Astyanax mexicanus: one gene and its partner. The protein of the gene in region 1 interacts with the protein of each later gene in a pairwise test. Links are inferred from orthologs where the notes say so. Each region holds a gene or a part of one and is shown on either strand. Other genes may lie near its edges.

Evidence for each region.
Region 2: the proteins of tp53rk (region 1) and tprkb interact in binary tests that used the Homo sapiens proteins (3 or more experiments, as listed by UniProt). The link is inferred for Astyanax mexicanus from reciprocal best matches to the Homo sapiens genes TP53RK and TPRKB.

Annotation. Positions count from the first base shown.
Region 1 is NC_064431.1:14,937,175-14,953,146, forward strand, and holds tp53rk (EKC/KEOPS complex subunit TP53RK), read right to left. Parts: upstream 8,658-15,972; 5' UTR 8,571-8,657; coding exon 8,336-8,570; intron 4,566-8,335; coding exon 4,081-4,565; 3' UTR 3,403-4,080; downstream 1-3,402. Other genes in the region: uncharacterized protein LOC103021615, read right to left, coding at 1,041-1,134; slc2a10 (solute carrier family 2, facilitated glucose transporter member 10), read left to right, coding at 12,036-12,039, 15,211-15,972.
Region 2 is NC_064409.1:18,910,270-18,926,680, reverse strand, and holds tprkb (EKC/KEOPS complex subunit TPRKB), read left to right. Parts: upstream 1-9,090; 5' UTR 9,091-9,490; coding exon 9,491-9,667; intron 9,668-10,669; coding exon 10,670-10,792; intron 10,793-10,871; coding exon 10,872-11,048; intron 11,049-11,600; coding exon 11,601-11,687; 3' UTR 11,688-11,933; downstream 11,934-16,411. Other genes in the region: alg10 (dol-P-Glc:Glc(2)Man(9)GlcNAc(2)-PP-Dol alpha-1,2-glucosyltransferase), read right to left, coding at 4,389-5,447, 6,288-6,485, 7,862-8,029; srr (L-threonine ammonia-lyase), read right to left, coding at 12,708-12,949, 13,442-13,531, 14,063-14,211, 14,576-14,706, 15,374-15,555, 16,218-16,395. UniProt on the Homo sapiens protein: Component of the EKC/KEOPS complex that is required for the formation of a threonylcarbamoyl group on adenosine at position 37 (t(6)A37) in tRNAs that read codons beginning with adenine.

The DNA of each region.
Region 1 (15,972 bases):
GACGAGTCATTGGATAAATGCTGGGCTTTGTCCCGCCCATCGGACGCTCAGCATCTCTGGGGGTCTATGGGACAGTGGGCCGGCCTCGGCTCAGCTTCTGCTCAGCTTCTGCATGATGATTGGATGATCTGTCTGAAGCGGAGTCCCTTTTTGATTGACAGCGAAATAAGCGAATCAGCGATCTTTTAGTGTAAAAATCCATGATGGGAGTATTTTCATTCTGTTCTGAGTTGAACTGGAGACTTTCCTAATACTTATAGCGGCATTGTCTTTATTAAAAACGACTAGCGACAAATCCAGCTTCTATTTCTGGTGCTTTTCTGTAGCTGCGTGTGTTTGGAGACTTGTGTTATCATTAAAAACAATTTAAATAATTTAAATTAATAAAGGGATTATTCAAGGAAATTAAAGCTGTCCAAAAAGGAACTAAATTTACCTGCATTTTTTCCTTTACCAACTTTAAAGATTTTGCGTAATGTTTTTTTTTTACTGATCGTTTTATGTTTATTCATGTTATAGCATCTTTTTTATGTAATTGTTCAATGTAAAGAATGGGTAGTATGGCTTTTTGTTGTGTAGTGAAAACTTGTTTACAAAAAAAAAAAAAAAAACATCTGAGGGAGAGTAGAATTTTTGTATAAATAAAACTACATATGTTAAGATGTAGGCCGAAAGTGAGCTTCCCCTCCTTGAAAGACCAGCATCCGCCACTGATTTGTACATTTATGAAATACTGTAAAAATGAGCAAATTAGTGAGCAATTACAATACATTACAATTACAATAAATATATTAGATCCTGCAGGGATAGTCATTCTAGGACAATGATATAATTACAATAAATTGTCTCTTCCAAACTCATGGAAATGACTGTTTTCAATATAAAATACATCATCTTAAGAGCCATTGCTTTAAATGATTAGTTTCATTTCTCTGCACTCTTCCCTACACTAATATGGCCCTTTTTTCGAAGACAACAAAGATTATTTATCACAGCTGAGTGTTTTAATGAGATGCCAATGAAGAGAATAATTCTCTTACCTGCAAGCTGGATGAAAATGAAGTGAATAAGAAAGAAATTGATAAAAAATGTTAAAGCACTGCGTTGCTGAGCTCTGAATCCGTCTCCGGCCATGCTAAGAATTCCTGGAGGAAATCTTAGTACTTCCTGTGGGGTCAAAGTTCATTCTTTACTGTTGTCATTAAGTTTCAACAGCTTTTAACTCAGCTATAAAATAGCCTGGGCACAATGCCTGTTGACTGATGACGTCGCTGTGCACCTGAACACCTCCCTCTGGATATTAGTTAATCATTTACAGTAATTGCAAACACTTAAAGAAACTGTACTGCTACTGTACTGAAGTATTAGGCCCATCTAATTAAAAGTAAGCATGTTTCATATGCAATTTAATTTGTATTAGTGATAAAATAAACCCAAACTTACAGTACTTAAGCTCTTTTAACTGAGTTAGATTGTGATACAGTACTCACTGTCACTATAGTACAGATTATGGTATAATAATTGAGCTAGATTGTGATATAGTGCTCATACTTTCACAATAATACAGTTTATGTCCCTATAGTAGATTCTGCTATTCTAATTGAGTTAGTGATGCAGTGCTAATATTCTCACTGTAGTAGCTTCTGCTCTTCTAATTAAGTTAGATTGTAATAAAGCACTCATATTTTCACTGTTGTACAGTTTCTGCTCCTCTAATTAAGTTAGACTGTGATACAGTACTCATACTTGCACTGTAATTAAAATTCTACTCTTTTTATTAAGATAGAATGTGATACAGTACGCATTATTTCAGTACAGTTTCTGCTCTTTTTATTAAGATAGATTGTGATGCAGTACTCATATTTTTACTGTAGTACAGTGTCATCTCTTTTAGTTGAGTTAGATAGTTAGTAGTCATACTTTCACTATAGTACAGATTATGCTCTTTTAGTTGATTTAGATTGTGATCCAGTACTCATAGGGTCACTATAGTAGATTCTGCTATTTTAATTGAGTTAGTGATACTATTGTCACTTTAATACAGTTTCTGCTCTTCCAGTTGAGCTAGACTGTGATACAGTACTCATACTTTCACTATAATTCACATTCTGCTCTTTTTATTAAGATAGATACAGTACGCATATTTTTTTAGTATAGTACAGTTTCTGCTCCTCTAATTGAGTTAGATCAGGGGTGTCCAAACTTTTTTTGTTGGGGGCCAAAAGGAGAAATATATTTGAATTCACAGGCCAAAGACTCTGTAATAAAACAAATAATGAAATATACCACTTTAAATAATGATAATGAATTTTCCTGATTATTTCATTTACACACCATTTTACTTGACTATCTTTGTTGTGTTGTAGTGTTGTGTAAACTAAGATTTTTCAAATTGATGTTTAATTTCATGATGTCTCTTAATATTAAACTTCTTAATTACAGCAACCTTTAGACTCTGTTTTTCTGCGCTAGAAATGTGCACTCTCTCCGCTTTTAGAATCTTTGCCCCGTTTTTCTGCGCTAGAAATACACACTCTCTCAGCTTTTAGACTCTTTGGCCTGTTTTTCTACGCTAGAAATGCGCACCCTCTCCGCTTTTAGACTCTTTTGCCCCGTTTTTCTGCGCTAGAAATGCGCACTCTCTCCGCTTTTAGACTCTTTGGCCCATTTTTCTGCGCTAGAAACGCGCACTCTCGCCGCTTTTAGAATCTTTGCCCGTTTTTTTGCACTAGAAATGCGCACCCTCTCTGCTTTTAGAATCTTTGGCCGCTTTTTGCGCTAGAAATGCGCACTCTCTCCGCTTTTAGACTCTTTGGCCCATTTTTCTGCGCTAGAGCTGTGCACTCTCCCCGCTTTTAAACTCTTTGGCCGGTTTTCCTGCGCTCGAACTGCGCACTCTCGCCGCTTTTAGACTCTTTGGCTCGTTTCTGACACCTAGCGTTCAAACTTTGAATCTCATTATAAAAACCTGCTTAACAGCGGGCCAACTTTCATCCTATTACTAAAAAAAGGAAACAGGCCGCAAATGGCCCACGGGCCGTAGATTGGACACCCCTGAGTTAGATTGTGCTATAGTACTCATTTCCACTGTAGTACAGTTTTTGCTCTTTTAGTTGAAATAGATTGTAACAGAAGTCATATTTTTACTGTAGTAGTTTCTGTTCTTTTTAGTTGAGTTAGATTGTAATACAGTAATCATACTTTCACTATAGTACAGTTTCTGTCCTTTTAATTAAGTTAGATTGCGTTACAGTAGTCAAATTGTCACTCTAGTACAGATTATGCTTTTTTATTTTTATTTACATTGTGATACAGTACTCAGTATTGTAGTAGTTTCTGCTCTTTTACTTGAGTTAGATTGTTTTACATGCACTGTTTGGAAGACCACACACAGAATCAAACTTTTGTTTAAAAAAAACTTTTATTTACAACTTAAAGCAACTTTATTGTGATATCAGTAATAACCAGAGAGGCACATTGGTATGGAAGTAGAAACCAGTACAAGATGTGGTGTGGTGTACGGCTGCACAATGTGATTTCAGCTTTGTTAGTGAGTTCTGCACACGTGCAATATTTACATTATAGGATAAGTGAGTTTTTATTTATTTTTCACTTTGGCAACAATAAGGGTATATTTATTAACAGTATGTTACCACAGAATGTTTTAACTAATTATTGTCACAAATAATGCATAGTTAATTATTTAGTTACGACTATTTTATTTCACTTTTAATAGTAAAATTCTAAAGAATGACAATTTAGTAATTATTTATTAGAACTGTTAATTGTGAAGCTTATTGTAAATCGTTACCAATATTTACATTTTATGACAAAAAAAAAATCTACCAAAGGCAGATTACATGCTCAATATAATTTTTTTCACTCCAATAATAACTGTACAGTATGTTGGATCACTGACAATTCCAGTTATTTCAAATTTCACAATATATATATTGCAGAAAAATAAAATATTTGGTTTTATATTTTATATTGATTTTTCATCGATATTGTGCAGCCCAAGTATGGTATCATCTTCCATGAAAATTCAAATTAAGATGGGGTATTACAGACTTTTCCAACTTATCCAACCATAGACCTCTTTCGTCCTCTCAGTCTGACTTCGTCCAGTTTTTTAATGACAGCTGGAGCTTTTTTGGATGCAGCGATGTAGCTCTTCAGAAGTCTCTGGAACAGAGCCTCGGTGTTTGGGTGGGTGCTGAGGAACGCCTTCTCCAGGACGTACATGTCCACCCCTTTATCCTCAGGCAGGGCAGAGATGTAGCTCAAGCCAAAGTCTATTAGAACCAGTTTGCCTGGTTTTCCGTCTTCTTCACCCACCAGCAGCATGTTGGAGGTGGTGAGGTCTCCGTGGACGACGTCCTCATCGTGCATCTTGGCCAGGATCTGTCCGATGCGGTCGGCCAGGCCGTACAGCGTCTCTGTGCTTCGTCCAGATGCTTGAGTGGAGGTGATGTGCTCCCTGATGGTGATGGAGTCTGTGATTTCCTCCAGGAAGATGCAGTTAGTGGTGTAGTCAACGAAATATACCACTGGAGCACTGATACCTGCAGACAGAGAAACACAGAAAAAAAAATAATATTGAATCATTTGTGAACACTTGTTTTGTTCTTTATTTACACTATATAGTAGTGTCATAGGCAAGAGCACTAAACCCAAGTCAAGACCAAGGACAATGGGACAACTGATCTTTTTTATTATGCAGACTACTGATGAACTGAGCCAATCACAATATTGTTTCTAACACTGACTGATTCAAAATCGATTCTCATTTTCAAAAAATCTTTTTTTTGGGGTGAAGCTACTGTTGCGCGGCACTTTTTAACTGTACCGCAGAACTCTTTAACTCCCCTGCGGCGCTCTTTAACTGTTAAAAAGCTCCGCAGGACAGTTTGAGCTCCGTGCGACAGTAGGTAAGCTTCGCGGTACAGTTAAAAAGCTCTGCACGAATCGAACATCAATTCTGAATCGAATCTGCCCAGCCAATGTTTAAACTCCAGCTCACTGCAGAAAAAAAAGACATTTTTATGAAACATTTACCAATCAGAAAAAAGGAGGATCATTAGAAAAACTTTTGGGGTTTCTGGACGCTGCCCCAGGGTGCACACCAATTGTGTACTAATTACTATTATTCACTAGTATTTGAGTACAATGCACAATGTATGTAGTGTGTAGCATAAATGTGTGAAGGTGGAGTATACTCAGATATCCACATGAGTGTGGTTACAAAAAGGAAAGCCTCCAGTTAATCCCAAATCACCGTCTCAGTTAGGTAAGGGGACTTTAAAGGACAAACACTTTTTTTATTTGTTTACTACGCAATTCCACATCTGTCACTTAATTGTTTTCATGTCTTTAACATTAATCTACAATGTAGAAAAAAAAACATTTTAAAAAGTAATAATAAAAAAAAAACATTGAGAAAAGTGTCCAAACTTTTAAGTGGTACTGTACTACACTCAAGGCTGCCTATATATTTTATATGAAAAGGGGAGTAAATGGCCTAAAAAATGTACGTGTGATTTGTTGTGCATGCATTATCATTCCTTATATATGGTATGTGTTAATAAATAATCTTGTTATTAAAAAAAAAGCTTATTCTGAGTCAGTGACTGAGTGAGTGAGTAGGTGGGTGGGTGGGTTAGTGACTGACTGAGTGGGTCAGAGAGAGAGTAGGTCACTAAGTGAGTGGGTTAGTGCTTATATCACGAAAATGGCCAATTTAACATAGGCTGGAATACCCAAATCCTAGCTGACATACCCAGCCTATGGACACTAACTGTTCCAGTTCAAATGTATAGCAGAGTTAATAGTCAGAAAGCGTCAGGATAGTAGAAGTGTTAGTCGGAAAGTGTCAGGATAGTAGAAGTGCTTGTCCGAAAGCGTCAGGATAGTAGAAGTTTTAGTCGGAAAGCGTCAGGATAGTAGAAGTGTTTGTCAGAAAGCGTCAGGATAGTAGAAGTGCTTGTCCGAAAGCGTCAGGATAGTAGAAGTTTTAGTCGGAAAGCGTCAGGATAGTAGAAGTTTTAGTCGGAAAGCGTCAGGATAGTAGAAGTGTTTGTCAGAAAGCGTTAGGATAGTAGAAATGTTAGTCGGAAAGCGTTGGGTATTGCAGGGATAGATAGGGGGCGCATGACCTCATCTGACTGTTTGGGATTCCAATTCATTTCTATGGGGCCAGATTTCACCAATCATATCTCAGGAATGAAAGGTCAGATTGGTCAGGTTGGCGGGTTATTTCATCTGCATTTCAGATCACCGGCGTGGCGTACCTCAGAATAAGTTCGTTCAAGAAGTGCTGGACGCCAAAGTCGACGGGGAAAACATGATCATTGAAGTGAGTGTGGTTATGATGATCAGGGGTCAACAGGTTGTTCATTGGTTATTAGCAAAATTATTTTTTTTTGTTGTTAATTTACAGGTCAGCAGTGGTCTTGAGTGGGCTTCGAAAGGCGTTACACCTTCCATAACATCCGGACCTCCCTTGTTCATCATGTAAGTACATATTTAGTGTTCTGATTGTTTATGAGGAAGTATGGTGAAGGGTGTGATGGGTTTGATTGGAGATAACCACACCTTCAAAGGTGATATCAAAGTTCATATTTAACTATCCTGTTTTGATTCTGAATCGTCCTTCCCAAAGGCCAAGAGGTGCCTGTTTGACGAGTCCTCCTCAGACTCATTCAAGGCCCCACAGTGCCATGTTGTAAGTCATTATTTTCACAGTTCTGTTTTACAGGAACAGTAATTTATTGAGGTTATTTAATGCTCTAATTTGGTTGGTTTATTTGTTTGCTTGATTGTGTTTTTTAGGGTGACGAAGTGGCGAGACAGGATCCAGTATTACATGAAGACGAGACGCAGCTTCTCCAGACACCAGGGACTTCGGCGATCCAGGCTAGCCTTGCCTACGCCTCCCCCGTAACCCCCCGGCCACTTTCCTTGTCAAGTGAGGACGAAAACATGGAGGCTGTTACCCCTGTCCACTACTCCCAACCGAGCCACCCAGCAACTTTAATTCTCAAACGAACACTACAAAATGGAGGCTGTTACCCCTGTCCATAACTCCCCAGCAACTTTCATTTTCAAGCAAAGACGAACAAATTGAAACGACAGAGTCTGAGGTGGGCCCCTCTGCCAAGTTTTACTTGTAACTTTTGCAAATTGCCCAGTGTTTCCATTCAATTTGGTTTAAAATTGATTCTAATTTCTTTTTAAATATAATAATAATAATAATAAAACAATTATGGTGTGTTTTTAAATGCCACTATAAACAGTATTTCTAACATTTCTTTTGTTTTTTTATGTTTAATATTGCACTTTTAAACTGTTTAAAATAAATAAATAAATTATTATTGATCGTTTGTTGTGCCACTTTAAACAGTACTTAAAACTCATTGGTGCTTTCTGATAACACTCTGGGACTTCGATGACACTTTGGGTCCCAAAGTGTTGTTTAGGGCCAAGGTGTCGGATACCGAAGTGTCATTTTGCTGGTTTTTGCCGAACTGTAAATCCAATCTCCAAGAAACTTGTACCAATGCTTTCAGGACAGCGAGTTGCACCAACTAAAATAAAAATTTTGGATGAAAAACCATCACCTAAGCAGATACAGTTAAGTGTATTTTTCTCAGAGAGCGAAGGGTTAAACACAAAACCGTTCGATCATTTGGTGCGGCTCAGTGAGGCAACCCACCGGAACAAGTTTGGTGCCAGTCAGACCTATGGTTGAGAACGAAGAGAAGAGAAAAAAAAAAAAAAAAAAAAAAAAAAAAAACTTTCGCTATCCAACACACTTTCATGATAAAAGGCGGGCATGTACCAACTTTCGGCCGTTCCGAGACACTTGGTGAAAACATGCTATTTAGGGTCAAATTATGCTTTGGTGATTTTGGGGGCACTCTAATATCAATTTTGGAAAAAGTTAGTACCAAGATCACAGAAGTGGCAACCACTGCTGCCACCTGGGCTGTCGGAGGACCACACTGCACCCAGGTAATTAAGGAATCTGAAGGGGGTGGAGTCGCCGTTACTTAATATTAAAAAAAAAACACTAGAGGGAGGACCATTTAGCCTAATGGAGTTTCGGACCTGTGGCACCTACTGTGGATTTTTTAAAAATCGTCAAATTTTGTCTACAGGAAATCCCATTCATTTTTTGTGTTAAAAAACTCCACAAAATAATATCTGAGATCGATAAGACTGCCACCAACGGATTGTATTTTTTGAGTAGATATTTCTAGTGGGTCAGTAAATAAGTGACACAGTGAATGAGTGAGGTGAGTCAGTGAGTGAGTGAGTAGTGTTGGGTACTGACCCGCTTTCCTGCAGCGCAGTATGGACCGGACCTCCTGTGCGGTTCTGCGCTTTGTCAGCTTCTCATCCAGGACCGGGTGTCGGTACCGCTTCGGAAACCGCTCCTTAACGATGGTGGACTTCCCCAAGAACCGGCCGCGGTAAACCCGGGCCTCCGCGCCCTGTTTCAGCAGCTGAGCTCCGGGTAAACTCGGCGGAGCGACAGCGCCGCCACTACCACCATCCATACCCGCCATGCTTCTGCTCCATCCGAGAACCAACTCCTGTTAGTTTCAAAATAAAAGTCCTACAGCGGTGTTTGACTTTCTTTCGGTGGGATGTACAAGTAAAAATTTTAGACACAGCTTCTCGTTCTGTGTTTTATTTAATAATTGTTCTACATTGTAAATGAATACTGACATCATCCAGACTATGTAAAAAAATCATGTAGTAAACTTTAAAGTGTTAAACAAACCAAAATAATATATTGTCTCTTATCTGGGGTGCTGTTAACTTGTGGTTTCTGAGGCTGGTAACTCTTATTAACTTATACTGAAGAACAGAGGTAACTCTTTTGATTCCTTTCCTGGGTCCGTCCTGCTGAGAGCCAGTAATATAATAATGTCATCTTAATCTTTACTTAGTTGAGTAGTTCTTGTCATAATATGGATTAGAACATTACTCAGATAGGGCTGTAGGACTGTATACCAACTCTACCTCTTCACAACTTTACAATTGTTGCTCTCATACACATTAAGAGGACAAGAAATACAGGTCATTAACTCTTGATGAGGCACAGCTGTTAACTGAAAGCGATTCCAGGTGACTCTACCTCATAAAACTGACTGAGAAAATACCAAGATGAAATAAAATAAAAAAACATATTCTGATTTGTTTTTGTTTTACATCTTTATTTACGAAATAATTCCATTTGTTTTTTATGTGTAGTTTGGTGACTTTATTAAATGATGAATTTATTAATCTACAATTTAAAAAACACTGTGTTCAAACCTGGTACTATATTTGGGATTGAATGATTAACAAAATCTCTGAAATATCTCACATTCTAATTTAATTTCTTTATTATATACCGAGCTCGTAAAAATTCCAGGGTAGATAAATAGACACACAAACCCTTCCTTTAATTTAATAAATAATTCTTCCAGTTTAATAACTTTTTTCTCTCAATTTAATAAATGTATTTATTTATTTATTTAGTTAGTTAGTTTTTTTTTAAATCCTTTTTTCAGTTTAATAAATCTTTCCCCCAGGTTAACAAATTCCTTAGTTTAATAAAGTATTTCCTTGGTGCTCCATTTTTATTGGACTGACACAAATTACAGCACACAATGGGGAAAAAAATGTCAAAATAAGCTTCTTTTATCTAATAGTGACGTTAAAATGACACTAGTTAAAAGTAACATATACGGTTCTATGTTTTGCCTAGTACTTCGTTTGAAATGAAACCAATAATTAATTTTAATGACTACCAACTGTGTACCAACATTCCTCCAAAGTAAACTAAATATAAACTGCTCGCTTGTGTGTACAAGATAAGCGTGTGAACTGCTTGAGTTCAAAATAAAAGACCTTCTTTAAACTAAATGCTCGATTTACGAAAAATGTTCTGTATACTTTTTAACAGTAACGTTAATCTGAATTAAACTAATTTAAGAGCTTATCAGAATTATTTCCCATATTTAGTAGGTAATAGTATAAAGACAGACAAATAAATCTGATTTATTACATTTAACTGTATAAATCAGGTAAATGTAAAACGTATTTCACTATAATTAAATAAAAATAAATAATCTTGCTTGTTTATTTATTTTTTAATTATATTGTTCATTATTTTGCTGATTTGTTTGTTTATTCGCTTTTTTTTAAGAGCCAACGTTGTTTTTAAACCACCCGTATTCTGACACGCCCCGCCCTCCAGAAATAAGATTGTCCAATCCTTCGCAGACAATCTTAAGAGGAGGGCGTGGCTTGTGAGTGAACGGGTGCGTAAAAAAACACAACGGTATTTGGAGTTTCTGCCACGTAGCTGAGCTTGTTTGTGGAAACTTTAAATGTGGAGAAAAAGGTTCAGGAACATTGAGGGATGTCTTAAAACAAGGTAATAAAGTAATGTGCTAAGTAGAGTACAGATGAATAGTTTTTAAATAACTTTTTATTATATTACAATGTAGCTTAAAGAGTTAGGTGGGGAGAGGGGCTTCGTGAAGCACTCAGTATTGTCCTACCTAAAGTTAGCTAGGTCAGGTTAAAGTTTTAGATACGTTTATATAGATCACTTTAAATTTAATTCTACTAGTAAATCACTGCTATAAAGACATTTCTTCTCCTGTAATGCTGTTTTGGGCTCATGTCATTTAGAAACATGGTTGTATTTAACCAGAAGCTTGCTAGACATAGAGTAAGACAGCAGGTAGAAGGATGGTTCTGAGAGCTTTTATTGCTTGGTAGGTTTTAATAATGATATATAATAATATTTCAGTCTGACAGACCAGGTCTTCAGAATATGGACTGCATGATAATAATAATAAAATCTGATCTGCAATCTGATATTGCAAAAGTTTTCTTAACTGAAATATTGAGATAGTAAAAATGATAGGAATTGTCATAAAATGCAGTGCAGAAATAAAATTACCTACAACATTTTAAGAAATGTAATTGTTTCATAGAAATGTTCAGTCTTTTACCTATTATTACCTAAGGCAAAAAATGTTGAATTAAATTTATGTTGTGACTATTCCATGGATAAATCTGTAATTTAAAAAATTTAATTAAATTCACCTGACTATTGATAAACATAAATTACTTATCAACAGACTTCTTAAACTTGAATTATGGAAAAAAAATACCTGTGGAATAAATACATTTACGAAAATAGGAATAAAAAAAACTCAGATCCATGAATTAAAATCATTAATTAAAACAATTATTTAAAATAGAAATATTAATTTAGGTCAAAGGTGAAAACATCAGTTAGATTTGATGGATCAGAATTTTTAAATCTTGTTTTTTTATGATGGTTTTTCATTGTTTTAGCATATATTAGGAGAAAATTCCACCACCTTACAAGTTAAAAACACAGAAAAACATTTAAAATTAAAATTTATGAATTATGCTTTGAAATATTTCAGGTTTATAAAAAGTCAGGTCAATTTAATTAAAATGTTCAAAATGCAGATTTAAAGCTCATCTCAGCCCTTAAACTCTGTAACATGTTCCAGATTGATTGACCACAATTGCTTGGTATTTAGCCACTGTTCAGATGCATGCTTCAATTTAAATCAGATTATTACCAACTAAAATGAATTCAGTGCTTAAAGTTTGTAAATCTCAGCAGCCGCAGTGGAGGGGCAGGTCTTCTGAGGAGGTTTATTTATGGATGATTAGGCCATGGACTGGCAACCTCGAGTGGGGCTTATCACAATCGACGGGCATCAACGAGTCGGTTGCCATGCCCACAGGGCTGCACTAAGGATCCTGCGGCTGGAGAGGAGCTTCAGAGAGGTTTGGGGTGAGCGGGGAACACATTTACACTCTAAACACAGCAGTAACGCACATTTTTATGTACCATCTAAGGATTCTGAGGATCTGCTGATACAGCTGTGCTTCATTTTCCAGACCTGGTGCTCAGCTGAGGAGAAAACATACAAATTGTGCATTATTGGACCATGAAGCAGCTCTGAAGTTCCATAAAGGACAGCAAAATGGGTAAGATGGGCACTTCTTTATGTGTGATTGTGCAAATTGTGTATACTGATGTATCAAACGTTTAGATATTATATCACAGTTACTGAGACATTTTATCCTCATATACAGCTCTGAAAAAAATAAAGACCACTTAAAAAGTATGAGTTTATTTGTTTTTACCCAATTGAAAACATCTGGAATATAATCAAGAGGAAGATGGATAATCACAAGCCATTAAACCAAGCTGAACTGAACTTGTTTTTGCACCAGGAGTGGCATAAAGTTATCCAAAAGCAGAGTGTAAGACTGATGGAGGAGAACATGCCAAGATGCATGAAAACTCTAATTAAATAACAGGGTTATTCCACCAAATATTTATTTCTGAACTTTTTCTAAAATTTAATGAATATGAACTGGTTTTCTTTGCATTATTTGAGGTCTGAAAGCTCTGCATCTTTTTGTTATTTCAGCCCATTTTCATTCCCTGCAAATAAATGTTCTAAATGACAATATTTTTATTTGGAATTTATAGAATAAAACAACAATGTTCATTTTACTCAAACATATACCCATAAACAAAATCAGAGAAACTGTATATTGATTTTGAAAAGTCTGCATAAGGGTAACTTAAATTACCTAAATTAGCATGACATTGAACCAAATAAGTGGAACTCTGCTAATAAAAAACACTGCATTGAGAAATGTTGACCTGAATGAACAGTTATCTGAATTAGCTGTTCTTCTACACCTCCAGACGTACCTTAGGCTGACCTAATCATAATCTAACCAAACAAGATCAAATAAAAGAAGAAACCATGTCTGGCAAGGTATAATATCTTAACCTGGCAAACTACAGTGGCGTGAAAAAGTATTTGCTACCTTACAGATTTCTTTTTATTTTGTATTTTTGTCATACTTATATACAGATTATAAAACTAACTTTAATATCAGACATATATAACCTGAGTAAATATAAAAAGCACTTTTTACATTATGATTTATTAAGGAAAAATATCAATCCAAACCAGTCTGGCCCTATGTGAAAAAGTGTTTGCCCCCCCCCCCCCCCCCCCATAAATTAACTGTGATTAATCACACTTTTTGGAAAGCTGAGTTTAATTTAAATACTAACCACAACCAGGCCTGATTACTGCCAGACCTGTAGAACCAGGAAATCACTTGAATAGAACCTGTCTGACGACATGAAGCAGATAAAAGATCGCAAAAATCAACACATAATGCTCCAATCTGAAGAAACTCAAAAACAGATGAGAAAACAAAGTCATTGATCATCTATCAGTCTGGAACAGGTTACAAAGTAATTTCTATAGCTTTGAGACTCCAGCAAACCACAGTGAGAGCTAATATTCACTAATTGAGAAAACATGAAACACTGGTGAACCTTCCCAAGAGAAACCAAACGACCACAATTATTCCAAAAGGGCATCATGAACTCATCCAGGAGGTCCCAAAACAACCCAGAACACCATTTAAAGAACTGCAGTTCTCACATGCCTCAGTTAAGGTCAATTTTAATGATTCAATAATAAGAAAGAGACCGTTAAAAAATGGTCTCTATAGGAGGATTTCAAGGCAAAAAACACTGCTGACCAAAAACAATTTACACATTTACCAACAAACATCTTGATGATCCCCAGAACTTTGGGTAAATATTCTTTGTACTGATGTGCCAAAAGTGGAGCTTTTTGGAAGGTGTGTGTCTCTTTACATCTGTTGTAAAACTATCACATAATTTCAGAAAAAGAACATCATACTGAATGTAAAACATGGTGGTGGTAGTGTGATGGTCTGGAGCTGCTTTGCTGTTTCAGGGTTTGGACAACTTGCTGCAATAGATGGAAGCAGGAATTCTGCTGTTTACCAGACAATCCTGAAGGAAAATGTGCGGCCATGTGTTTGTGACCTAAAGCTCAGATGTACTTGGGTTCTGCAGCAGGACAATGATCCAAAGCACACAAACAAGTTCACCTCTGAATGGCTTTAAAAAAAATAAATGAAGGTTTTGGAGCAGCCTGGTCAAAGTCTGAGATGCTGTGATATGATCTTAAACAGGATGATCATGCTGGAACATCCTCCAATGTGGCTGAATTAAAACAATTCTGTAGAGAAGAGTGAAACAGAATTCCTCCACAGAGACGTGAAAGACTCATAGCCAGTCATGAGTAAAACTTAACTGCAGTTGTTGCCGCCAAGGGTGACAAAACTAAGTTATTAGTTTTAGGGGGCAAACACTTTTTCACACAGGTTTGAATAGTTTTTTTCCTTTAATAAATGAAATTATCATTTAAAAAGTGCTTTTTATATTTACTCAGTTTATATTTGTCTGATATAAAAGAGTCAGATGTAATGGGTTTTCACAAAATATGTTTTTACTGTAAAATTGTATTATTCCAATGGAACAGAGAAATCCGTATATCAAAAATATTTTGTTCACGCTTATTTACAGTTGTATGCAAACAACTTTTACCAATATTAATCATTAATTTTACTTGTTATTTTTGTCTTTATCCTAGTATGTGTTCAGATTCGGCTAAATGAGATTTGTTTCTTAGATCAGATCTGTTAGGCTGGATGTCCACTAGGGATGTGCCAAATGTTGTAATATAACATTTGCAATAATGCAATAATAGAATTTAATTTTTATTTTGTTGCAGTAGTGTATTCTTGAAATATTTTTTTTTATTTAATGTTTTGTCATATCACTAAGAGTATCGTTATCGCGAAAATACCATGAAATTATATATTGTTTTATGCCCTTATCGCCCACCTCTAATGTCCACACTGTTATTTGTGAGTGATCAGATCGGATTTGCCTGTCCAGATATCACAATTGTATCTGTGTGCATTGCTGGTGTGTGGAGGTTGACGTCAGGAACTAAACTTTGGTGCTCTTTTTGGACTCCCACACTTCCATCACTGTGTATATGATGAGGTCATGGTGTACAAATCATATTTTATTTATATTATAATCGTATTTAAATCCTCTCCAAATGTGTTTTTGTTGTCCAGACCTTCAAGTCTAGATTTCCAAAAAATCTGATTCAAGTCTGAACACAGTCTAATAGTAGAAGCACAAAAAACACTTTTACTTTGCCCGCGTTATTTTTTTTAAAATTCCAAATGTAACCTTCAGAGAATGTACTAAAACCAAAACCTTCTCTCTTTTACTAGGCTGCCCAATTGTGGTGCTTCCCACTACGGTGTCCACACTCGGGGGCCTGGTCTTTGGCTACGAGCTTGGGATCATCTCTGGAGCCCTGATGCAGCTCAAAGCCCAATTCCACCTGACCTGCGTCCAGCAGGAGACGGTGGTCAGCGCTCTCCTTATTGGCGCAGTCTTTGCGTCCCTGGTTGGCGGTTGGCTGATTGACCGCCACGGCAGAAGGACCTCAATCTTGGTCAGCAACCTTTTGCTCCTCTGTGGCAGCTTGATTCTCAGCTCCAGCAACTCCTTCCTGATGCTGGTCGTGGGTCGGCTCTCGGTGGGCTTTGCAATTTGCATATCGTCCATGTCCTGCTGCATCTTCGTGTCTGAGATGGTTCCGTCGCACCGCAGGGGTCTGATGGTCACCCTGTACGAAGCTGGCGTCACCGTTGGGATCCTGGTGGCTTATGCAGTCAACTATGTGTTGGCTGGTGTTCTGGAAGGGTGGAGGTACATGTTCGGGTTAGCCGTGGCACCGTGCCTCGCTCAGCTGGTTTCGGTTTGGGTTCTTCCATCGCAGAACCAAGGTCTAGTCCAGCTTGTACCAGACAGTCAGAACATGAGTGACTGTCCAGAAGAAGAACCTTCTTCAAACCAGGTTCTGAAGGACCACAAGCGGTTTACAATCTTTCATCTGTTTCAGCGTAAAGATAACTTGCGCTCAAGGACACTAATTGGACTCGGACTCGTGCTGTTTCAGCAGTTCACGGGTCAACCAAACGTGCTGT
Region 2 (16,411 bases), on another chromosome or scaffold:
CACATGATGAATTTTGGATATGATTGTTTTATCAAGAGCAAACTATTATTAAAAAGATATCAGTTCCAATGAGTCCCAGTGTTCTTTGAGGAACTGAAGGTGGTTCATCTATGGCTTTGTCTGGCCTTTCTCTTTATACCATTTAACAAAGTCATCATCGAGAAATGTTCCATCAAAATAGGAACAGTGTGTAAATAATGAGCCGGATGTTTGAAAAGTGTCTGTGAACATGTGTGCAAATAAGTGCTTCTGTTTCTCTGCTTTAACACTTAAATACTGAATATATTCAGAAGCATGTACCTCATTACAGCCCTCATCATAATTACCTACCCAGCTCTGAATCTTCCTGCTGCAGATGCTATTTTTTTTTTTTACATCAATTATAAAAACTCTCAGGTCAGATTTGACAGCTTAAGGAGGAATCATTGGATGTACATGGATTGAAAGAGTAATTAGCTGTAGACTGCATGTATGCATCTTGGCTGAGTTAACTAAGAGTGGGAGAAGCATAAGAACAGCATCCAACGCATATTAACAACCTCAGCTTAGAAACCAGTTAAAAAACCAGTTAGAAAAAGTTACCAGCGCTCATAATTGGTTGGAGATTTCTCAGCCAATAGTTGCCAATTATATGATAACTGTGTGAAACAAACATTCTCAAGTCTAATTAAAACTGTCAGGCAGAACAAGAAGTAATGGATGGTACTGATTTCCTGTGTTAACCACTCCAGTACTCCAATATGAGGCGTGGGAAATATAGAACCAACTGACAGTTTACACTATTCAGTTTCACACTGCCACCTAGTGGAAGGACGCTGTTATTCATGGGTATACTCCTTGCTTTACTGTACATTCCATAGAATCCAGTGCTCCCAACGTTTGGATTAAACACCACTGGAATGAACCTTACTTTTGGGAGTTACATAACATTCTATAAACACATGTAAAACAATCCATTTATGCAAAATCAAGTTTATGTATGCATTTGATCCACATACACTATATGGGCAAAAGTACTGGAACAGCAATTGTTTCTTCTGTAATCAGGGGTTTTAAAAAGTAGTTTATTATTTTGCAGTTAAGGGTTTCTATTACATTTTAGAGCTTAGCTCTAAGGATTTTTAAACTCAATGACAAAAGTGATAGACCTCATCATCATCAGAGACTATACAAGCTGTGTGTGTGCATGAATTGCTCATCTGTTTCAGCAATGGGTGCTATTTGCTTGTTGTAACTCTTCTAAATTAAACCTTCTTTTAATCATTTTTCAACTCTGAAACTCAGGCAGCTTTACTTACATTTTAAGCCAAACATGATTACTAAACCCATGTTACATTTAAAAAGAATGTTTTAAAGCAAGTGCACTAATTCCTTCTCTCAAGAAAGTCTTTTGTTTAAAGAAATGGTTGACTGCATGTTCAAATCATTGATATGTATGACTGTTAATGGCACTCATTCTGTTACTGGAACTCACTCTTGTTACTTTTTATGTTTTGAGTAACATAAATGAAAGTAACAGGAATGAGTTTTTAGCATAGAATTAGCAAAAACATTTAAAATAGCTAAATGGCGGCTATGCTAATAGCATGAGGACACTAAGTACATTCTAGTGATTTTTTCCAAAATTGGAAAATAATAAATTTGGGTAACAGGACAGAGTGTTGAGATTGACTTCCTTAGTCATAATTAAAATAAGATCAAATATACAGAAAAACAAATGAGGGAACTTAATTTCCCGTGGTCTTAATTCAACAGATCTTAATTCAATAATTCTTTAAACAAAATTAGGCAGGTGCATAAATTTGTGCACCCTTGTCATTTTATTGATTTGAACACCTTTAATACTAATTATTGGAACACAAAATTAGTTTGGTAAGTTTTTTGACCCTTGACATCCCGTTTTTTTATATATATAAATATATATATTTAAATATATTAGGCTTAGCAGTTATGGTTGTTCCAGCACACTGGAGAAGGGATAAAATACTGAGTTGATGGTACCACTCAGAAATGCTTCTGCTTTCAATTTAGAAACAAAATAATACGGACTGTCATTTTAATTTAATTACAAAACAACAGACAGAAGAATTTTTTGAAAGGAAAAAAAAAAAGCAGCACTGCCTAAATTTAAAATTCTTTCTTTATTGCATCAGAACAGTGGGTTTGCAAATGAACACTGACAATGGAGAACAAGGACCTTCACAAATACAAAGAGAATTCATATGAGTGAAAGGAAAAACATTCAGGTAAAGAAATTAAGACTAAACTGACTGACGTGTTTTATCTGTATCTAACAGGGTTTAAAGTTTAAAAGAACTGGCATCAGTATTTATGGCGATTCATCTTAAGGGTAAACAAGGCAGAACCAGTATAACTTGAAGAAAAAACAAACAACTTGTCGAATCACATTAAAAAGATGATGCTTGTGCTTGGTCCACGACAGGCGACTCAAATGGCAGTGAATAAAGACGAGGACACTTAAGGAATCATTTGAAAAAGACAACACAATTCAACTGTGTAGAACATTTAATATTAAAGACAAAAAAATCCATCCACCCCTTTTCTTATCTGCTTCTTAAAACATTAAGAGAACTAGAAGAAGCTCAGTATTCCCTGTCCTCATCAAACACCTAGTTATCAATTAAACAGTCCTTACTTTAAGTAAATCAAATGAGCTGCTGGTGGAAATTAATATAGGGCTGGTTTTCTGTGATTAACCTAGTCCTGGACTATACAGCACTTTGAATCTGTTTAGGAAACCAGCCCATAGTGATTAGCTGGATCAAGGCAGCCAACAATTCAATAGCCAACCAGTGCAGATGTATACTGCTATACAGTATTTTTAGAGGTGTAAACAAATTTATTGCTGAGATCAGCATTTTAACACAAACAGAACAATTTTAACTGCAACAGCTGTTTTCTGAACAGTACTGTAGTTAAGTAAGTGCCAAAAAAACCTTGTGTTTTCAAACATAGATATTAATGAACACATTATCCCATAATCCAGTGGTTCTCGGTTCTAGTTCTGGAGGGTTCTCTAGTCCTGATCTAACAGGCCCATTCACTTCTGGAAGGGTGACCTAATTAGTTCATTAGCTGCATCAGGTGACTTAGTAGAAAGAGAAATGTTGGCTTTGTTCAGACTGCTGGCACAAATCTGAGTTTTGGCATAACTAGACTGTATTTATATTGATTGTGATAGTCAGAAAAGCCAGAAACTGCATTTTTGCTACATTTGGAAGTAATTTGAAACTGATTTGTAAGTTTTGAAAGATTTGTCTTAGTCTGGATGCCTTTGTGTTCCTCACTACATGAGAAATAATCTTATTAAATACAATTACGTATTTTTCTATCATGGACAAGTTTTTTTTGGACCCTGCAGTCATGATCTATAGCCACGTTCAGCCAAATTATTAAGAACACCACAAGGCTGAGACATGAGTCTAATTCTAGTATTACTGATTATTTTCTCGTTTACTCACAGCCATTTTCCACTATACTTGTAGCCTATTTTTATGCCTTCAAAGTCGGATATGCACCGGATTTTAGTACCAAGCCACCCAAACGAAATACCTGTGTCACATTTGGCATAAAAGATCATATTTGGGCTGCATTTACCTTGTGTGTGACCATTGCCTTACTGATGTCAAACTCGTACAGATACACTTGTGATGTTCAGACAGGCAAATCTGATCTGAACAACTGCAATTAACATGTGGACAATCAATGGGGGTAGTAAATACTGAGTACTGAGTAGCAATATCAATACAAACTCTGATTAAATTACTTCAGAGTTTTTTTTTTTAGCATTATATTTTACAGTCCATAGTTTTATTTTGGGTACATGTAGTATTTTATATCTCAAAAAAGATATACAATTTTGAAAGAACAGCATTTAATGGTTGAGTAACTGCAAATTCGAAAACTTTCGGAGTTATAAAAAAATGTGTGTCAGTAACGGCTTCATAGTATCAGTGCTCTTTACTGATGAGAATGATATGGTGTGTGCAGTGCCAGTAACTGTACCAATACAAGTAGAGCATCAGTCAAATCGGAGCAACACTAATCTCAACTTATTTTTATCTGATTTAAGAAATAAAATCAAGTAAAGTACATTTGCCTGCAGTTTGAACACAGTTTAATATATGTGGTACTTCAGGACAAAGACTGAGAACAAAAGAAAACTGCTGTAATACATATTCAATGTCTCTTTTGGTTTTCGAATGTTCTTCTGCTGACATGATTCTGCAGTAGGAAGGTACCTGGTACCTGGTGAGAGCCGTGGGGAAAAAGGAAAAAAAAGGGAGTCATTTCTTTTTTTTCTTTTCCTGATCTTCAGTACCAAAAAAAAAAGAAAAAAGAAGTGAACTGATTACAGTGTTCAAATTTCACCACATGAATCTCTGCACTGCAGAGCTATCAGGCCAGTGAAATGTCTTGTAGATGAATATGTAGAGCGTGGCTGCGTTGACTGCTGTGTAGAGAGCAAATTCGAGCAGCAGTCTAGGAAGAGATGGAAGAGGGATGTGTACTCTGTAGAGGAGATACGGCAGGATGAAATAGCGGAATTCCAGCAGTTTCTGAGGAACTGTAGCTGCCAGTAAACATACAGAAAGTGCTAAGAGCCAAAACAGCGACTTGAACTTTAGAGTGTCGTAAAAGTTCCAGGCTGCAAACAAATAGCCAGGAACAAGGAGGAACCGGATCAAATGGTGCTTCTGGAAGATCCGCTTCCAGACATAGAAAGGAAAATGCCTGTTATCCGCCAGCAAGTACTTGTGGACGTAAGTGAACTTCCAGATCAGCAGCAAGAACAGAGCTGCCATCAGCAGAAACAAGAAGGGGTGCTTTCTCAGAGACTGTACGAACCTGACCAGCCTGTGGTAGCAAAGTGAGGCGGGAAGCGAGAAGACCAGCGTGAAGGAGAAGAAATAAAAAAGCTGAGGGAAGTTCAGACAAGCCTCGTGACTAGTCCTGTCCCCAACCACAATTCCATTATTCAGCACCACAAACGTAACGAAACCAGCACCGACTAAGCCATACGGCCATGCCACCAAGATCACCGTCTTCACATTGGCCGGTGTCGTAAAATAATACAACAAAAAATTCACTACCCTCCTCACGCCACTGACAGACAGTGGGACCTGAGAGGGGGTCTTCTCATCCCTCTTCTTTGACTGCTCCACCCGCCACGCCTCGTCCATCTTCTGAGCCACCACCGTGCTGGCGCAGAACGCAACCCAGATGACGTTGGTCTGTCGGAAAAGGATGGCGCAGATTCCCAGCAGGGCCGAGGCTTTGTGACACCCGTAGAGACACATGAGGTAGGCGAAGAGGGTGAAGAAGGTGGAGCCGGCGTCGGTGTAGTAGAGGAAGGTGAAGAAGTAGAGCACAGGGAAGGTGGACAGGGTCAGGGCTGAGAGAACTCTCCGAGCAGCCAAGCGGGACTAGAGAAGAAAGAGAAGATAAGCGACACTGTGGTGAGAACCTGAGAAGGCAGTGTAGGTAAATATACAGCTCTACAAAAAAAAATAAGAGACCACTTCAGTTTTGAATCAGTTTCTCTGATTTAGCTATTTACAGGTATATGTTTGAGTAAAATTAACATCGTTGTTTTATTCTATAAACTACACACAACATTTCTCCCAAATTCCAAATAAAAATATTGTCATGTAGAGCATTTATTTGCAGAAAATGAGAAATGGCTGAAATAACAAAAAATATCTTTCAGACCACAAATAATTGCAAAGAACCTTTAAGTTTAAACTCATAAATTTAAATGGTCCTTTATTTTTTTTTCTACCACAGGCTGGCCATGTTCTCTGGAATGATGGAGCTCCATCCAATACTCTTGGACTAAGTTTGTGATGTGAGGATGATGAGGTGGGGTGGAGTGGAGAGGAGATCATCCATCACCCTTACTCTACTAATTCTCTTGTTTGCTAATTGCAAACAAATCCTCACAGTAGTCACCCAAATCTAGTAAAGTCTTCCCTGAACAGAAGAGACAATTACTCCAGCAAAAGAAGGAAACTCCTCTGTTTTTTTTATATTATAAAGAAAAAAATCATCCCAATACTTTTGTCAAATGTAGTGTAGATTAATGATAAGTTAATATTATATATATTAAAACAGGTTAAATGGTTTGCACTGATAAAAGGGTCCTACACATAATGGAATATTAGTTCAAATATCAGCCATATCCAGACATATCTAAAAATACACAATAGCTAATATTATTGAGATAATTCAGGAAAATACGACAAAAATTAACACTTAATTATCACCTTGTCCTTAAAGTGTAGCCTGCAGATGATGAGATAGAGGATGTAGAGGTTCCCACAGTTAAACAGCAGGTTGATAAAGCGCAGCATGGCAGTGGAGCACACCACCGCCCCAGAGAAGTCTGCCAGCCATACCACTGGTTTAATCACTCCCACAGACAGCAGATACAGGCCAGGCAGTGTAGTGATCATGGGATCCCACTAACAAAATGAAAAGAAAATATACATTATATATTTACATTTATTTAAAATGCATTTATTACTTTATTACAGAATTAGAACAAAATGCAAATCATCGAAACTGAACCAAAGCTCGTCCTTAAATACTGTCTACACCCAAGTGATGCTCTGTATATACCTCCAAGCACAGATGCAGATTTCTGTTTTTCAGCAGAACATGGCAAACTGCCCACACTACCAAAAGTATCAATTGGTCTTATAAAATATTGAAATTTTCTGAGACACTGATACTTGCGTTTTCATTGTCTGTAAGCTAAAATCATCAACAATAAAATAAATTAACGCATAAATAGATCACTCTGTGTTATACATTCATTTCTCGTTTTGAACTGAATTACTGAAATAAAGTAACTTTTTAATGATATTCAATTTTTTTGTGATCAATTATTTATTTATTTTCATTGTTATCCACATTACCAGCAACAAGATATTCATTTTTTTTTAGATGCACTAGTATATGTACACCCATGTGATATCCTCTATACATCCATGTGATACCAAGAATTATGCTCTAAACAGAACTATGTGAAACCCCATGTACAATTGTTATGCTATGCACATGTGATGCCCTGGTATACACACAATTCTCAATATATGATGCTCTGTACACACTCGAGTGATGCTCTGTATATATGAAGTCCTGTAAACAACCAGGCGAAGCCCTGTGCATATAAAGCCACAGTGCATATACCATGTATACATGCATGCGATGATCCCTATATACAATGTGATGTCCTATATACATCCGTGATGCCCTGTATATGTGATATTCTGCATACACTCAACCAATGTCCTGTGTACTTCCACATAATGTCCTGTATACAGTACCAGTTAAAAGTTTGGACAGGCCTCATTCAATGTGTTCACTTCCTTTTTATTAATTTTTACATTGTAAATGTAATTTTGAAGACTATATTAAGGCTCTACAGGAACTGTGTGGAATTATTTTTGTAAATAAGAAATATGTTATGATATGTTTTACATTTAGCTTTGAGGACATATCTGCACACTCTTGGTATTTTAATCTCAGTGTCTTCATGAGGTTCATGAGTTTTCTTAGCATTGTGAATTAGTTCCTGGAGGTGCTGAACATTCATGTCTTTAATTTACACTTTACATTTGTACTCTGTGTATACACCCATATAAGATCAATACCTAGCTACACACCTATGTAGCTCTATGTAGTTATGAGTCTCTGTAAACACCCATATAAGACCAATATCTAGCTACACATCTATGTAGATAGCTGTAAGGCTCTCAACACACCCATATGATGCCTTTATATGTGGTTATATGTCAGATTAGATGCTCCAGCCTATGTGTGAGTCTGTCCTCACCTGGTTGAACTTGCCCTGGCAGTATTTCTGAGCCTGTGGGATGTGGAAGATCTCGTCCATATAAGGCTCTCTCTGCTCTCGGCTCACAGAGGAGAAGATTAAACACGATATGAAGAAGTTGACGCTGCACAGCGCCGTGAAGGCGTAGCACTCCGCCCGCTCTAACATCGCTTTTCTCTCTATTAACCGTCCTACAGCCTAATGTAAATTGCAGATTCGTTCCCCGGGGTTGTCTACCAATAATCCCGTTTAGTCATAACCCAATGAACTCTCCAGTTTTAGCGGGAAATATGTTTTTACCCGCCTGCATACTGCAGCGAGCCAGCGGAGAGCGGAGCGACGGTTACAACCTGACAGACGGAAACCTGAGCACGGGAGCAGACGTTCCGTATGGTTTACAGTTTATCTTTTACAACACAATTAAAAATTGTGATGTATGAGAATATAATATTTATGTATATAAATGATTTAATACCGATTACATCGCGTTTAAACGTATTAGACATAGCCAGCTAGCTACTTTGATACTCGGAACGTTAGTTATCAAGCTAGCGTAGCACAGTGCTGAGGGTGTTACAATATTATTGTCCTGGTCTCGTGCACTCGTGTAGTAAGCTAGGGTTAGCTAGCTGTAGTTTGGTTAGTTTAGTAAACCAGGAGTGTTTTTATTTTATTTAAGGCTGGAGATGCAGTTAACTCAGGATTTAGAGCTCTTCCCCGATCAGTCAGTCACTCAGCTGCTGTTCAGAGATGTGAAAAACTGCGCAGAGCTGAGAAAGATGGCAATGGAGGGACAGATACCCGGAGCTCTGATTAACCCCAGCATGGTAACGTTAAAGACAGTATAAAGACTATAATCACAGACTGTAATCCTGTATCTGTTTCTCTGTATAGACCACCACAGTATAATTTGGGTGGTGGTGTGTTAGTAGAGTGTGTTGTGCTGGTATGAGTGAGTGAATCAGATACAGCAGTGCTGCTGGAGTTTTTAAACACTGTGTAGGCTTATTAGACACCTACACGACAGTTGTGCTTAAAAGTGTTGTGAACCCTTATACAGTTTCTACATTTCTGCATAAGTATGACCAAAAACATCAGTCCTAAAAGTAGATGAAAAGAAAAATATATATTATACATATGAATTTGTTTATTTAGGGAAAATGATCAACTATTATATACAGCTCTGGAAAAAATTAAAGAGACAGTTCCTCTGATGATGCTGTTTATAGGTATATGTTTAAGTAAAATGAACATTGTTGTTTTATTTTCTTAATTACGAACAGCATTTCTCCCAAATTCCAAATTAAGAAAATGAGAAATGGCTGAAATGACAAAAAAGACAAATTAACTGCTCGCTTCAGTTTCTTTCACAACATTTCTTTTGGATTAAGATCAGGACTTTGAATTGGCTATTCCAAAAGATTAACTTTATTCCTCTCGAAATATTCTTTAATAAAACAACTTGTGTGCTTAGGATTCAGTTCATGGACAGAAGTCCTGAAATTTTCCTTTAGAATTATTCGATATAATTTAGAATTCATTGTTCCATCAATGATGTAGCAAAACAGGCCCAAACCATGATGCTACCACTACCACGTTTCACAGATTGGATAAGGTTCTTATGCTGGAATGCAGTGTTTTCCTTTCTTTAACCATTTAACCTTGCATTTAAACTTACAAACATCAATATTAGCCAATGTGAGAGAGGCCTTCAGTTGCTTAGAAGTTACCCTGGGGTCCTTTGTGGGGTCCATTACATGCTTTGCTCTTGGAGTGATCTTTGTTGGTGGACCAGTGTTGGGAAGGGTAAGAATGGTCTTGAATTTCCTCCGTTTGTACACAGTCCAAACTCTTTAGAGATCCCTGCCTGATGAGAAATCTCCTTTTTTGGGCCATGATGCACTTTCACAAACATGTGTTGTGATGTGCAGACTTAGATAGAGCCCTGTTCTTTAAACAAAAGAGTGCCCACTTACACCTGATTGTCATTGCATTGATTAAAAACACCTGACTCTTAATTTTACCTTCGAAATAACTGCTAACCCTAGAGGTTCACAAACATTTGCCACTGACAAATATGTAATATTGTACGGTGGCCGAGAAAGCCCAACGCAGTGCAAATTGAAAAGCGCTGCAAAAGCACAAAACACATCCATCAAAATTACAACACAGGCGCAGCAAATAGATAAACGCGCTGCAAATACAAACACAACGGAAGTGAGTCACAACACAACGGAATTTTCCTGGGGGACCTTAAAAGATGCTGTACCAGCTAAGCTGCGTCTTCAGTAACGTCTCGGACTTCACTATGTGTACAAAGGACAATAAGTGGCAAACAAGGCGTTTTGTGAAGCAGAACTTTTAATAATATGCACACAACCGTGGTAATCACAGGTAATAAACAAACTTACTTTTCAGAAGCTTGTTTGCCACTTATTGTCCTTTGTATACAGCTGGTACAGCATCTTTTAAGGTCCCCCGGGAAAATTCTGTTGTGTTGTGACTCACTTCCGTTGTGTTGTGGTTGTATTTGCAGCGCGTTTTTCTTTTTGCAGCGCGTTTTTCTATTTGCTGCGCCTGTGTTGTAATTTTGATGGATGTGTTTTGTGCTTTTGCAGCGCTTTTCAATTTGCACTGCGCTGGGCTTTCTCGGCCACCGTAAATATTGGATCATTTTGCTCAATAAATAAATGACAAAGTACGATACAGTGGACAATGAGCGTAAAAACAAGGCGGAGTAATAATATTAAAATTCTGACTAGACTGTAGTTGAAAGTGTATCTCTCTCTGTTTCCTCTACTTCCAAAGGTTGTGGACCTGTTCCAGACTCTGGTAGCAGCAAATAAGGCAGTTCATTTACAGAAGGTTGGGAAAATGAAGACGAGGAGTTTGTACTCTGAGATCATCTTTAGTCTCTCACCCACCAACAACGTGAGTTTTTCCGTTAACATAAATCATAAAGCACTGTGATTACTATGATTATTAATGTGATTATTAATATTTTTTACAGATCTCTGAGGCATTTAGGAGGTTTGGAGTCTCAGACAGTGACAGCGCCGTCCTTGTTGTCCTCGTTCATAATAAAGAGGACATTTTCAATAAGGATGATGTCACGTCTAAGGTGGATGGCCAGCAGATTCCAGCTGATCAGATTTCCACTCTCAGTGATATGGCCAAGATTAAAAAGGTTTGTCTTTGTGTGATTCCAGTGTTCATATATAGGGTGAGTAGTGTAACAGATATGGTGGCATCAAAATGTTTTGACACTAAATATGTTTGACATATTTTGTTTTTCAGTTAGATTGAAACTGAATGCTATTAGACATAGACAAATAGTTTTAACTGTTTCATTAAAAACAGTTAAATTGATGACTATATGTAATCCCAAGTCAATTTAATTCCAAGTCATTCTGGAGCATTTCTATTGATCCAACAGTCTTGAAATTTTGAAACAATGTAAAGAACAACTACCAGATGTACACTCTTTCCAAACATAAATGTCAGTCAAATGTAGAATTAAATATATTTTGCAGGACAACGTCAATGTAGTTCCCTTTTAAAAATTATTAATAGGTTTTTTAAAGTTTTTTTCCACCATTAGAGTAGTTCCCTGCAGGACTTTAACTAGTCACATACAATAATATAAATGTGGTCATATCACCATTCTACCATTACATAAATCTGTTTCTGTTCTCTGACTGAGATATTAAAGTGTATGCTTTTGTTTTTGTCCTTTCAGCTTTACAAAGTCACCCCGCAGGAGGAGAAGTGTGGAACTGTTCTGGATGCTGTTGTTCTCAGAATGGCCGCTAAGGAAGTTGTATAGCTTAGGGGACACTAACAGGACACACACTCTTTAAAAAGGGAGAGAAAGGTCTTCTGGAGGGATACCACAGATTAATTATTTTGGGTTTCTTAAAAAATATATATATATTCAGAAAGATTCTCTAAAAAAGCAAAAGTGGTTCTTCTGTCATCACCTGGATAAACTTTTTGCCTTCTTAGTTTTTAATTTATTTGTTTGTGTTTAAATATCTACAGTACCTTTTAAAAATAAATCTGATTATAAGCAGTTGGCTTGTTTTTTTCTGTACCATTCTTTACCAGTTTCTTGATTCAACTATATGGATGTGCATGTCTTTATAAATATAGTTCGATTTTAAACTGCCTGCAATTATATTACAGCAAGTAAAAACATATATTTTTGGCCAATTTCAGATGTGTTTTATGAATAAATTTTACATCGTTCCTTTTTTGTATGGGTACCCACTGTAGCACAAACAACTTTCTACTGCAAAGAGGTTCTAAATACAACTCAGTCTACATCAAATTTCCGAGTATTAATACAGTAGCTACAACTTGTAGCTTTTATATGTATCTCTGGTTAAACAGCCCTCATCTTTCTGCTCCATTCATTTTTAATGAGAGGAGAAGTAGATCTCCTGCTGAGTGGCGGCTACATCTGTCGCTCATCACAGCAGCTCTCACACAAAGGTCAGATAATTTATGCTACATCTTTATTTTCTATAGCAGCATTTTCACAGGAGTGACTTGAATTACGAGCATACTGTATTTCTGCCTTAAAGGTCTCATATTTTTCATTCATTTTAAAATGTCTAGTTGAGGTCTCTAGTATGAATGAATGCCCTGGGACCTGTTTTTTATGAAAAAAAAAATGATGCTTTGGTGATCCGGTATAACGCTGCTTTAGTCCAGTGGAGGAGTGGGTTAGAAGAAACGATAGAATTTAGGCTTTTGCTCATGAATATTTATACCTATACTATAATTAATATCATATAAATCACATTTTAGGATGATGCATTAATGCATGTTTTAAACTCCTATCTCAGTCAGGGAAATTGGTGAGCTCATCTTTCCCAATGTTTCCTCCACTCAGAATGACCACCACAGTTTTGCCGGTGATGTTGGGTATTCTGCCGTTAATGACAGCAGCAAAAGCAGCAGAACCTGATGGTTCTACTACCAGACCAGCTCTGTAGAGTGTGGACACAGCAGACTTGATTTCCTCATCTGTTACCAGCACTATCTCCTCCACGTACTTCTGACACAGTGCAAACGGTAGAGCACCTGAAACATAAAACACACAACCCACACACCTTGTAAGTGAAGGTTTAATGACCTCATAAACATAAATTTGTTTCACATAAATTAAAGTGATGGTTCAGCTCAAAAATCTATTTTACACATCCCTCCCCATTACCACAAACACATTGAACTGAACCTTAAAAACATAAGTGAATTAGCTGAAATTGATTAATTATGGTATATATATATATATATATATAATGCTTAATTTGTTATAGTTCATATAACATGGAATCGAAAAGGCCTTCCTATTCTCAGACACCTGACTAAGGAGAGATTTGGTAATGATACAGTTAGACAGTCACTCCACCCCAGCTTTAGAGATATGGAGGCACGTACACTTCTGAACCCATAAAAGAACAGATTTTCTCAAAACAGTGTTTTTGTATGCCACTCCAGGGTGCCACAACTGCACAAATATTTCACAATATGGAAAAAATAAAAGAATTAAGGCTTGATCCAACAATGTTTTACCTGCAAAGGGAGGTGCAAGACCAGAAGCGATGCTTTTGCTGTCCATGCCGACAGGTTTGTTCTCAATGAAGCTTTTGTACATTGTGCATGCTGTTAAAAGTAAAAGGTTAAACAATGAACTAAAACAATAATACACTAATATAAACACAAATGTCTTCAATAAGTAGGAACATAAAACAGCTATCCATGATTTTTTTCATATTTATTTTAGTAATGCAATTATTTTAGCTATTTGATTAGCATTATATTGCTTAATTTGCAAACGTGACTTTCAGTGCTACATGATGATTCATTTTGCTACACTTTTGAATATATAATGTAATTATAATGTATTTTAATACAATATATGTATACCAACCAATAAGCACAACTGCATTAAATTCAGCAAAACTGTATTAAAATCTGTACCTACTACATATATCATTGCTGTCATGCAAAAACGTTGTATCTCCATCATTTCTTAATGAATTAAGTTTTCATGATGAATGGACCAATAGAAATGCTTCAAAATCAATTTTAATAAAAGTTTATACTGATTGCAATAGAAAGTTACAATGTTTTTTTTGTTTCCATTTTTAAAAAATATGAGATTTTTGGACAGGAAATAATTAAATTCTTTACCTCCTTCTGGCTCCACTCCATAGATTTTTGTTTCATCACATCCTGACAATTTAATGGCAGCGGCCACTCCAGCCAGTAACCCCCCTCCACCACAGCACACCACCACTATATCAGGATTAGGAACCACCTCCAGAACCTCAAAGCCTAGACTGCAGTAAATTGTTAAATACCAGAAAAGACTGTAACAATAAATAGTATTTTAACGTTTAGTAGAAAAGTCTAACATCAATGTTTATATTAACATTTATCAATAATGGTGATGGTGATAATATGTGGTTACTATGGTGTTGCTAAGTGGTTGCTGAGGGGTTGCTCTGGTATATAGTGCATAAAGTATATGCTTGTCATAACTATTATAATATAACTTAAGTGTTCATAAATGAAAGATTGAGATATTCATAATTTTAGATATTAGATGTGTAAATACAGATGAGAAAATACTGCTAATACAATAGAAACGTATGATTATGATCAAGAAAATAATGAGTAGGGTAATAATGAGTATTTGTGTACCTGGCGTGTCCTGTTATGAGATCTGGATCATTGAAAGAATGCATGAAGGTCATGTTTTCCTCTTGAACACAGTGATTGACTACATCCAAGAGACGTGGCGTCGGCACTCGCTCAACTTCTATACCAAAACTCTGTAGGTTCAGAGTTAGCTCTAATTAGTTGTATGAATATTAAATTCCAAACTACGGTTGGGCGGTATTCGCTTTTTCATACTGTGTCAAAACATTACCACTGTATAGGGTATTACTGAGGGCAGGGAAGCCTTGTGTTTACTTGATATGAAATTAAGTTTAAAAGAAGATAAGATTAATATAACAGAAAAACAGTTAAAATTAAGGTGGTTAGATATTAAACTTTTAAAATGATTTAGTGACATTAGTAAGCTGAGTTTTAGAGTGTCCTGTAAACTTACACAGTTAGATGAAAATGATAGAGAGACTGGATAGACAGAATACAGAAAATAAGGGTTTTGTAGCTTGTTGAGGTCTGTAGCTCACTTGCTAAGCTAGCTAGCCTTTGATTTGAACAGAGCACATTGTGTTTTTTCCCCGTTTTTTTGTTAAGAGAACAATGTCAAATGTGTCCACCTGTGGCCATATTAAATACACTTGAATGAATGAGCTGTTATGGCCTGTATTAGTGAGACACAGAGACGGTTTTCTGGCACGTCAGGCAGGTTATATTTGTGAAATAAATGTATCTTATTAAAATGTTTTAATACCGTGCTGAAGGTTTTTGCCGATGTGGCACCCAACCGGACATTCCGGACATTATTCTGTAATCAGACTGTGTTCTTACCTGTATTAGCAGGGATCTGGAGATGGGGGCGGTTTCAGGCATCACCACTTTGCCTTTGGTTCCGTAGTGTTTAGAGGCAAAGGCAAATGATTTTCCATAGTTCCCTGCTGACATTGTGACAAAATGACCTCCTTTGGCTTTTCGAGCAAACTGATTTGCTACACCTCTGATTTTAAATGAACCTGTTGGTGAAATAAAGGAAAAATATAGTGAAAAATAAACGTATAATATTATATATTTTAATGCAATATGATTTACCATCCTCGTTCATCAGGCAGGATCAAACAAGGGCCACACTACACTGAAACTGTGATATGCTGCTAAATACCCTGATTTAATTCTGTTAAAGTCTGACAATGCGTTATAATTTAATCCTTTTTTTAGCTTACAACATAGAATTGGTGCTGAATCCAAAACTGAATAGAATACATATTAAATAAAGTAGAACTTTACAATACAACAATTGGTGTTTTCTTAACAAAATAAAAACATATATATATTTTTATAATCAACTAAAACTACAACAGAATTATGGTATCCAATAAAACATTACAATACAAATATATAATAGAATAGAATTTTTCAATATAAATATATTTAAAGCATACAATGCTTGAATATAATAGTGTTATAAAGGAAAAATGTTATAGCCATTGTTTTTTATAAAATAATAAAATCTTTTTATTTGGAATAAAACAGAACTTTACAATTCCACTTTATAATAGAACATTGGAGTTAAATAGTACAACAAAATATTTTTATCAAATAGAATATAACAGTAAAATAAAGCTTTATAGAAGGTTAATTTTTTTACTTTTCCTGTGAAAATGTGTAATCTACAGACCTGTCCTCTGCATGTTCTCCAGCTTCAGGTGGATGCTGCAGGACTCGTGGAGAGGCAGTGTGGTCTGAGCCCACGGGATCATGGGGGTGTTGATCACCTCCAGAGGGCTGGACATCACCGTCTCCCGTGCTTCCTTCAGCACCTGAAGAGTGATACTGTCTGCTGTGGTGTTCTCCATCTTACTGAGAGAGGAG